Linked DNA regions of Solanum lycopersicum. The protein of the gene in region 1 binds, or shares a complex with, the protein of each later gene. Links are inferred from orthologs where the notes say so. Each region holds a gene or a part of one and is shown in the gene's direction. Other genes may lie near its edges.

Evidence for each region.
Region 2: the proteins of acyl carrier protein 1, mitochondrial (region 1) and NADH dehydrogenase [ubiquinone] 1 beta subcomplex subunit 9 are in contact, whole or in part, in a cryo-EM structure (PDB 8BEH), measured with the Arabidopsis thaliana proteins. The link is inferred for Solanum lycopersicum from reciprocal best matches to the Arabidopsis thaliana genes MTACP-1 and CIB22. Residues at the interface, in NP_181990.1 of Arabidopsis thaliana: Asp78, Ser79, Leu80, Asp81, Val83, Glu84, Val86, Met87, Glu90, Glu91, Lys94, Leu95, Glu96, Ile97, Asp99, Lys100, Ala102, Asp103, His118, Met120; in NP_567970.1 of Arabidopsis thaliana: Glu18, Arg21, Ile22, Tyr24, Arg25, Arg26, Leu28, Lys29, Leu32, Arg38, Phe41, Arg49, Phe52, Asn53, Tyr84, Ile85, Val86, Pro87, Trp88, Ala89.

The regions. Positions count from the first base shown.
Region 1 is NC_090800.1:79,120,343-79,124,268, forward strand, and holds the start of acyl carrier protein 1, mitochondrial, read left to right. Parts: upstream 1-1,474; 5' UTR 1,475-1,711; coding exon 1,712-1,903; intron 1,904-3,926. UniProt on the Arabidopsis thaliana protein: Carrier of the growing fatty acid chain in fatty acid biosynthesis. May be involved in the synthesis of short and medium chain fatty acids.
Region 2 is NC_090800.1:93,192,560-93,196,485, forward strand, and holds the start of NADH dehydrogenase [ubiquinone] 1 beta subcomplex subunit 9, read left to right. Parts: upstream 1-1,087; 5' UTR 1,088-1,340; coding exon 1,341-1,472; intron 1,473-1,630; coding exon 1,631-1,672; intron 1,673-2,492; coding exon 2,493-2,574; intron 2,575-3,504; coding exon 3,505-3,560; intron 3,561-3,926. Other genes in the region: kinesin-like protein KIN-7E, read left to right, coding at 38-359. UniProt on the Arabidopsis thaliana protein: Accessory subunit of the mitochondrial membrane respiratory chain NADH dehydrogenase (Complex I), that is believed to be not involved in catalysis. Complex I functions in the transfer of electrons from NADH to the respiratory chain.

The DNA.
Region 1 (3,926 bases):
TATGACATGTGTATGTTTGTTAATATAAATAATATAGATACTCTAGCTTTTGAACCATAGAAGCACTAATATCCCAAAAATATAACAAAAATTATCTACATATCATATACAATAATTCAAAGATATATTTATTATTTTTCCCTAATTAAAAATATTTTAACTTTTGAATTCTCAATCGATTAACTACACAAATATGTAATTAAGGGTGTGCACTATTTGAATTAAATCGAAAAACCAAACCAAACCAAAGAAAATTCTAATTTGGATTGATTTTTTGGATTCTTGGTTTGATTTTGGATTTATATTTATTTTGTTTGATTTTTTAGTTCGATTCCGAATTTAGAAAAATGAAAACCAGAAAAACCAAATTTTACATATATATATATATATAAAGACATAAAGACATTCAATATCTTTGTGAATGAGTCATTTTGACCCATTCCTTAGTCTATGTAATTGTGCGTGTTGCTCACTCACTATGACAAAATTCAATCCCATCGACTCTATTCTTTGAAGAAAAGTCATCTTCTCTTTTGGGATGGGGCGGGCTTGTTGCTATTCAGAGTGGACGGGCGACACATATTTGACGGGAGGATATCAGTCTTTTCAGGTTAAGAAGGAGGAGGAAGGCTTGGGGTCTGATCCTGAATTTATGCAGTTTGTTATTGGCTATTGAACTTTTTTTCTTTTTAACATAGTAGCTTTTGCTTTTCGTGATCTTACTCAATTTGTATTCGTAGTGATTCATGCAGTTGAGTTTAACCTTTGTTGAATTGGAGTAAGGAATGGATAATCAATGAAAAGTCTCCTTTTTTTTCCAACCAAGGAAAATGACGGGACAATCCTAATTGCAAAGTAGAGTGATTCCTATACTCAAATGATCATTCAACTATTCTATTTTAATGATTAAGGACAACGTATGATGATGAAGTCATCAAACCAACATTGATTTTGCTATGAAAAAAATCACGAAATCAAAAAATTAGGGCTATCAACTACTATTTTGGGTTTAAATTTGGGGAAGATGACATAAATTAATCAAATAATTAATAATAAAGAAAAAGATAACATGTGGCACGTTTAAATTGGTCCATGACAGTGAAAATATTGCATGACGGGCCTCATGTGCGTGATAACAACCTAGACGAGGGAATGAGTCAAAATGACCCATTTACAAATATATTAAATAGTTCAATGGGGTGATAGGACACTTTGAAAGTTAAAGTGTCTTTATGAAAGTATGAGACAACTTTGGTGTCTTTATGTCTTCTGTAAAATTGCAAATAGAACTTTGTTATGTTTCAAATTAGTGACATAACCCATTGATCAAACTGAAAAAATTCTAATTAAAAAGAGAAAAATCAAACCAAATCAAATTTATTTGGTTCAAATTGAGTTACACTTCTTCAAAAATAAAAATCAAAACTTAAATCGAATAGTACAAAATCAAACCAAAAAACTGAATGCGCGCCCTAATAAAGTTTTTTTCTTTTGCCAAGTCAAATATAAGCAAAACCAAAACCAAAACCAAAACCCTTCTATTTTTATTTTTTTCAGCAAGTACTTGTGAACCGGGGGGCTCACTATTCCGGTCCAAGGGATCACGATGTAAAATACCAAATTAATCCTCAAACCTCAGTCTAATTCAACACTTTTTTCCAGTCGCAACAAGCTAAACAGAAGAGGGATAACAAAGAATACGAGAACAACAATGGCGTCGGCGTTGAGATCTGCTATACTCCGACACATCCGGATTCCGGCAACCCAAGCTGTATCGGCAAATGGATTGAGGCTAACCGCTGTCAGATTGATGTCGTCGCACGATGACCATATCACCAAAGATGAAGTCATCAAGAGAGTCCTTGATGTCGTCAAGTGCTTCCCTAAAGTCGACCCTTCCAAGGTATTTTTTCCTCTCTTTTATTTTGATTTATTTTATATACACATTTGATGAATCGAATTAGATCTGAAAAATCCGTCTGCAAGTTCAATCAATGGTCTATTTGTATCGTAGATAGCTGTTTATTGGTCTAATTACTTGGCCGATAGGTGCTCAGCTCTGGTTGGACATATATGATATTCACTGGTAAATTGATTGGTATTTAGGGTTTCGTTTAGCAATAGGCTTCTTTTTGAGCTTTGAGAATCCGTGAAAATAGGTACTATATGTTTTTCAAAATGATATGGGTATCTTTTTACTGGACATGAAACAAAGTGAAATATATTTAGTGTTATAAAATGGTATGGTTACCTATTTAACGCCCAAAAAGGAAGATTATATAGGCATTGGCTTATGGAAATAACAACAACATCAATCCGAAGGTAATCGGGTCACCTATATGATTAAACACTGTCATATTATCAAATTATATAGCTATTATCTCCTAGCACAGCACAAGAATAAGAGGAGAATATTAAAAGAAAATATTGGTGTCCATTGCAATTTTAGTGTAACATTGTCACTCAAAAAGCTTAATTGTGTGATCTTTGTCTGAGCAGATTGCGAATGGAACTAGAAGTTGATCCTCTTTCTTATTTTTCTAGTTTCTTGTAAGGTTGGATGTCAAATGTTAGTCGTAGCTCTAAGCGACTTTGAGACTGGAAAACAAGTAAACGAGAAATTTCTCATCCACTGAATGCTATGTTCTGAACTTAAACTGAATAATTATTTACTTTTCATGAATTCCAATCGAACTTAGTGTAATTTGATTCAGTAGAAGAGAACTCATCTACCTATTAGATGATCTTTGCTCTAAAGTGTTAGGTTATGACACCTTTCGCTGCCCCCCCCCCCCCCCCCCCCTTTTTTTTTCTTTTTTAAAGATACGTCAATTAATTGGTTTAATGAACGAAAACAAGGGAATATAGGTTTATAACTTAAAAAAGGTAGAATTTAGAACAGAGGATGCACATAATTTCATAGTATCACCAACCAGGAAAGCTTCCAACACAGAAGTTTTTGTTTAGTATATTTAAGATTAAATTTGGGAACAAATTGTAGAGAACGGGAAATATTTTGGGTCACAATGGACTATAATTTTGTTCATTGAAGTTTGTTCCATTAGGAAATATTAATCTGAAAGATGAATAAGATGCTTTTAGAGTTCTATTGCAAGATGTGTTGGGTGGTAAGTGTCTGTCAAGGACTCCAAAATTAGGTCCAGGAATGTTTCAGCAGGCACTTATGCCTCAATGACGTGATATCAAAATTTATTCTACTACTTTCTTTGCCTGTCGAGCTTGTTACTTACTGGAAAATGCTTTTGCTGGCCCTCATTTCGCCTTCACATGATGAACAATGTCAAGTTGGTTCTGTAGAATTGCAACCTGGGTTTGCCAGCTGTTTTTTAGCTTTGTTGGGTGTTTGTCAGTGATAATGCATATATCTTGTTCAGAATACGACTTACCTTTTGATGACTTTTGCTTTCGCATCTCTGATCTCCATAACCGTTTTGAAGTCCCCGTAAAACAATTCAAGATTTAGTATCTTTAGAGCTCCATGCCTGGGATAAAGAGTTTGCTAATGTGATCTATGTGGTGAGAAGTTATTGACCTCTTTCGTCATCATTGTGTGACTGATCTTTGGCGAGATAAAAGATATGAGAGGGAGTCATGGGAGTGCAAGGGATGGGTTTGGTATATTGGTAATATAGGGGTGCGAGTGGAGAAGTGCGGCAAATGTGCAGGTTCAATGCAAATGACCTCTCTCTCTCTCTCTCTGTAGAAGGGTCTTCTTCTTGTAAGACAAAAGTAGAAAAAAACTAACTATTACCATATATTTTCTTCATATTCTAAGCTAAAAAGAATAGATAAGGTTTTACCAAAAGAGCATCAACTTTGACACAGTAGTATCCTAATCACTGTTATAAGTTGGTCTGCATAAGAATCCAGCTAGTATTGGGCATAGTGCCTTAACCTAGAGATGC
Region 2 (3,926 bases), about 14 Mb from region 1:
TCTGCTAATATGATTCATTATCATTTTTATTCAACAGCCTCAAAGCTCTTAGACGCGAGAGAAGTATGCTCTGTCGGCTCATATATAAAAAGTTACCAGGAGCTGAAAGAAACGAAATATACCAGAAATGGGGCATAAATTTGAACTCCAAAAGGAGGAGACACCAACTGGTTCATCGTCTTTGGAATGACACAGATCTGAATCATGTGATAGATAGTGCTGCCATTGTCGCGAAGCTGATTGGGTTCTCTGACCAGGGTCCGGCCCTCAAGGAGATGTTTGGGCTTAGCATTACACCTCCTCCGAGGAAGAGCAGGAGATCTTTTGGCTGGAAGAACAGTATGTCATCCCTTCTCTGAGCTTTTTGAAAGTTCGGTAGCAAAAGAAGGATATAGGTGAAATTAGCAATAGTCTTATGATGAATGTAATTGGATTGGATACATGTTGCCAATTCACTGATTTAGAGGATTGATGAATAGTTTCTTTTATTAGTTTGCTTAAAGTTTGTACAATACTACTCTGGGGAATCAATTATAATTTTTTGCTTCATATTTGATAGTAATAGATAATGTCCTTAACAATCTAAATCTGGAATTGGAGAAAGTGTTCAAGTAATTCTTTTGGCATATGATATTATAAAACCAATTACTTGTAAGCTGTACCTATCTATACAAGCCATAAATTGGCGATTACCAGAACCAGTTAAATGACATAGCAAGTCTACAATTTTTTACACCGTTTATCGTGTCATACAATAGATTTGCAAGAATTTTAGCTATATTTTTCTTTATTAAATTCTGTAGTCTTTGGAACTTTGATCCATTTAAAATATTACCTCTCATTAAAATTAAAGAGCGATCTTATTCATTCCATCACAATTATTTATCAAAAAATTATTTAATAATTACTTATCATGCATTTTGATTTTTTTGGTGAATAAAATTAAATTGATTTTAGGCCTAAATTTGAAATAAGCGTATCAAACTGTGTAACTACGTTTAATTATATCAAATTTCATCTTTGTCTCTTTCCAAACAAGCCTTAATTACAATATACATCTTTCTTAATTATTCTTATTTTCCATTCACATTTCTTCAAAGTTGATACCAACTTAACTAGCTTGTAATAGATCATATGTCATTATTCAGAAGCACTAACCTAATTAAAATAACATAATAATTATTTTTAACAAACCACCAATAAGACAAATGAAAATGAAAAACCTTATAAATGAAAAGGTATGTTGTGGAACGACGTCGTAGGAAGTAGTTCTGAATACAAAGATCCAGAAAGGGGGAGAGAGCTCTGAGTAAACCAAAGGGAGAGAGATTGAGAAAGCGATGAGCGGAATAGCATCGGTATCGTTCTTAGCTCGAAGAGCATCGCAGAGGGAGAGGGTTCGGATCCTCTACAGGCGTGCTCTCAGAGACACTCTTAATTGGGCCGTCCATCGTCATCTCTTCTATCCTGATGTAAAAATGTTTATCCCAATTCCTAGGGTTTCTTCCATTGATTCGTTTTTTCCACATTTCCTTCATTCGATCTCTATGTGTTCTTGTTTTTAGTTATATATAACTGGTGATTCGTGTTATTGATTAATTTATTTGTTTGTTTGTTTGTTTGTTTTCAGGCGGATGCCCTAAGGGAGCGATTTGAGGTCAACAGAAAAGTGGTTTGTTTTTATTTTCCTTCTTCTTATCCTTTTTATGCAACTTTTCATTTTTCTGATAAGGATTATATGGTTTTAGCTTGATGTTGGGAGTGAAGTCTGTATGTTTTAGTGTTATACAGAGCGACTTGTTCATGTGTAATTTTTTAATTGTGTATGTTTATCAAAAAAACAATAAAAGTTCACATTTAGTGTACTATCAAATAAAATGCTGAAGTATTAATTAGTGTTGAATACAAGTAGTGATAGAAGTATTTGTGAAGGGTAAAATAAAAATTATTTTAGACTGTATGAGTCCTGAAGTGTTCATTTCATTCTTCTTTTCCTTGTTTTTGTTGTGATTTGTTTGTGTACTAGCATATTTTTGGAGTATACAAATTGGCATTTGCTGGTGGTATCATATGTGTTTAGTTCGATATTTGGACATGATATGTTCTGATCATATGTGTTTCGAAAAAAGAATTCACCTTTGTCATGCTCAATTCGTATTTGATGCACAAGTGATACTGGAAACAGTGTGAGGTCAATGTTGCAGATTCTGTTATATAGTAAGAACAATTAGTTACGGATTGGTTTTGGTTCAATTAGTAACTTTCTGGGATTGAGTATTCTGTATTAAAGTTCTTTATGGATAATGAAAATTTACGCTGCTTTCATCTTAGTGATGGCTAATTTCATGGCCAAATGACTGAGCATCTGCGTTCTCTTTTTCAACAAGTGAAATTGTAATTCTGTAGTAACATATTTTGCATTATGTTTTTTTCTTTTTTGTAGTTTTATCTTTTAAGTTCATTTTATTCTGTCTTGGTTTGTTAACATTCAGGAAGATGTTGAAACTATTGATAGACTTATAGCTGATGGTGAAGCATCCTACAATAAGTGGCGGCACCCTGATCCTTACATTGGTATGTTTCTTTATGATTTTTGTATCAAACAACTGCACTTCGATCCCAAGCAAGTTGAAGTTTGCTATATGAATCCTCACTGTCTATGTATTCTTTGTGAGTTTTTCGCTATTAATAAACTGGATTTTCAATCCAATGAACCACAAAAATGTTAAGGATATGTCGGAGTCTGTATTATATGAGATACAGGTTTTGAACTGAATTAGGACCCCCCAGGGTGTGGGTTTTGGTCTAGTGGAGAGAGAGCAGCTTGTACTGTGTGGGGTTAGGCGCATGTCACAGATTAAAGCCTGGTATTTTAAATTATAAAAAAAATGGCTGGTATTTTGAGTGAAGGGTAGGATGGAGCCCATTTTCCACTGAATTTCAAAATGTCACTACTGGCAAGCAGGGATTTCTCAGCCATCAACAAGAAGCCTTGAAATTATAGCCGGCATAAGTTCTGTTGAAATCTTTCACATCTTCCCAACTGTTAGGGGTGCTAAGTTCTTAGACCTAGGGAGTATTGTTTTTTCATATGAAAAAAGACTGCCTCTAATGATGAAATGTCTTGTGGATCACGAGAAAAAAAGGAAGAAAAGAAAAATATCTGCAGGATATGTCTCATCTAAATTTTTATCTATGTTGAAGTTTGTAGATGCTAATTGATAAGTGATTACCTTAAGTCTTGTCCTACTTACCTTTGCATGTTTCCTTGTTGGATTGTGTGATGATCTTTTTTGTTCATACAACTTTTGTCAAATGTTAACAAGCAGTAAACAGATTGCCTTTATAATTTTTTTTAATGTGAAGTATTAGTTTTTGAAAGGATAGTCTTTTGATTTTTTGACACACTTCGGAAATGTGGTAAATTGTGGAAATATGAAAAGTTGAGTGAACTATTTTATGCTTTAGACTTCTGGTAATAGTTTGTCTTTCAATGATGAGCAGTTCCATGGGCACCTGGTGGTTCCAAGTTCAACAGAAATCCAGTGCCGCCAGAAGGGGTAATTTGCTTAGACATTTATTTACATCACGGACAATGTTTCAGTTTATGCTAGTTGCTTTAGCCATTTACTTTCCTGTTTCGTCAGTTTTTGCAACCATCAGGAGTACTCTTCAACTGTTAATTTTTCTATCTGTTGACAACTTGCTAATTCATTCTTCTTTAAATGTCATGACATGTGAAGATCTTTATTTTCTCATCGTGATTTGCTATCTGACATTTTATCCTTATTGTCCTACATTTATATGACTACAACGGGTGGTTTATGCCAATTATATTCACAACTTAAAATAGTTAAAACTGTCAAAGAGGGAGCTTATCAAAAAGATGTCACATCAACATCATAGGAATACGATGTCATACTTGG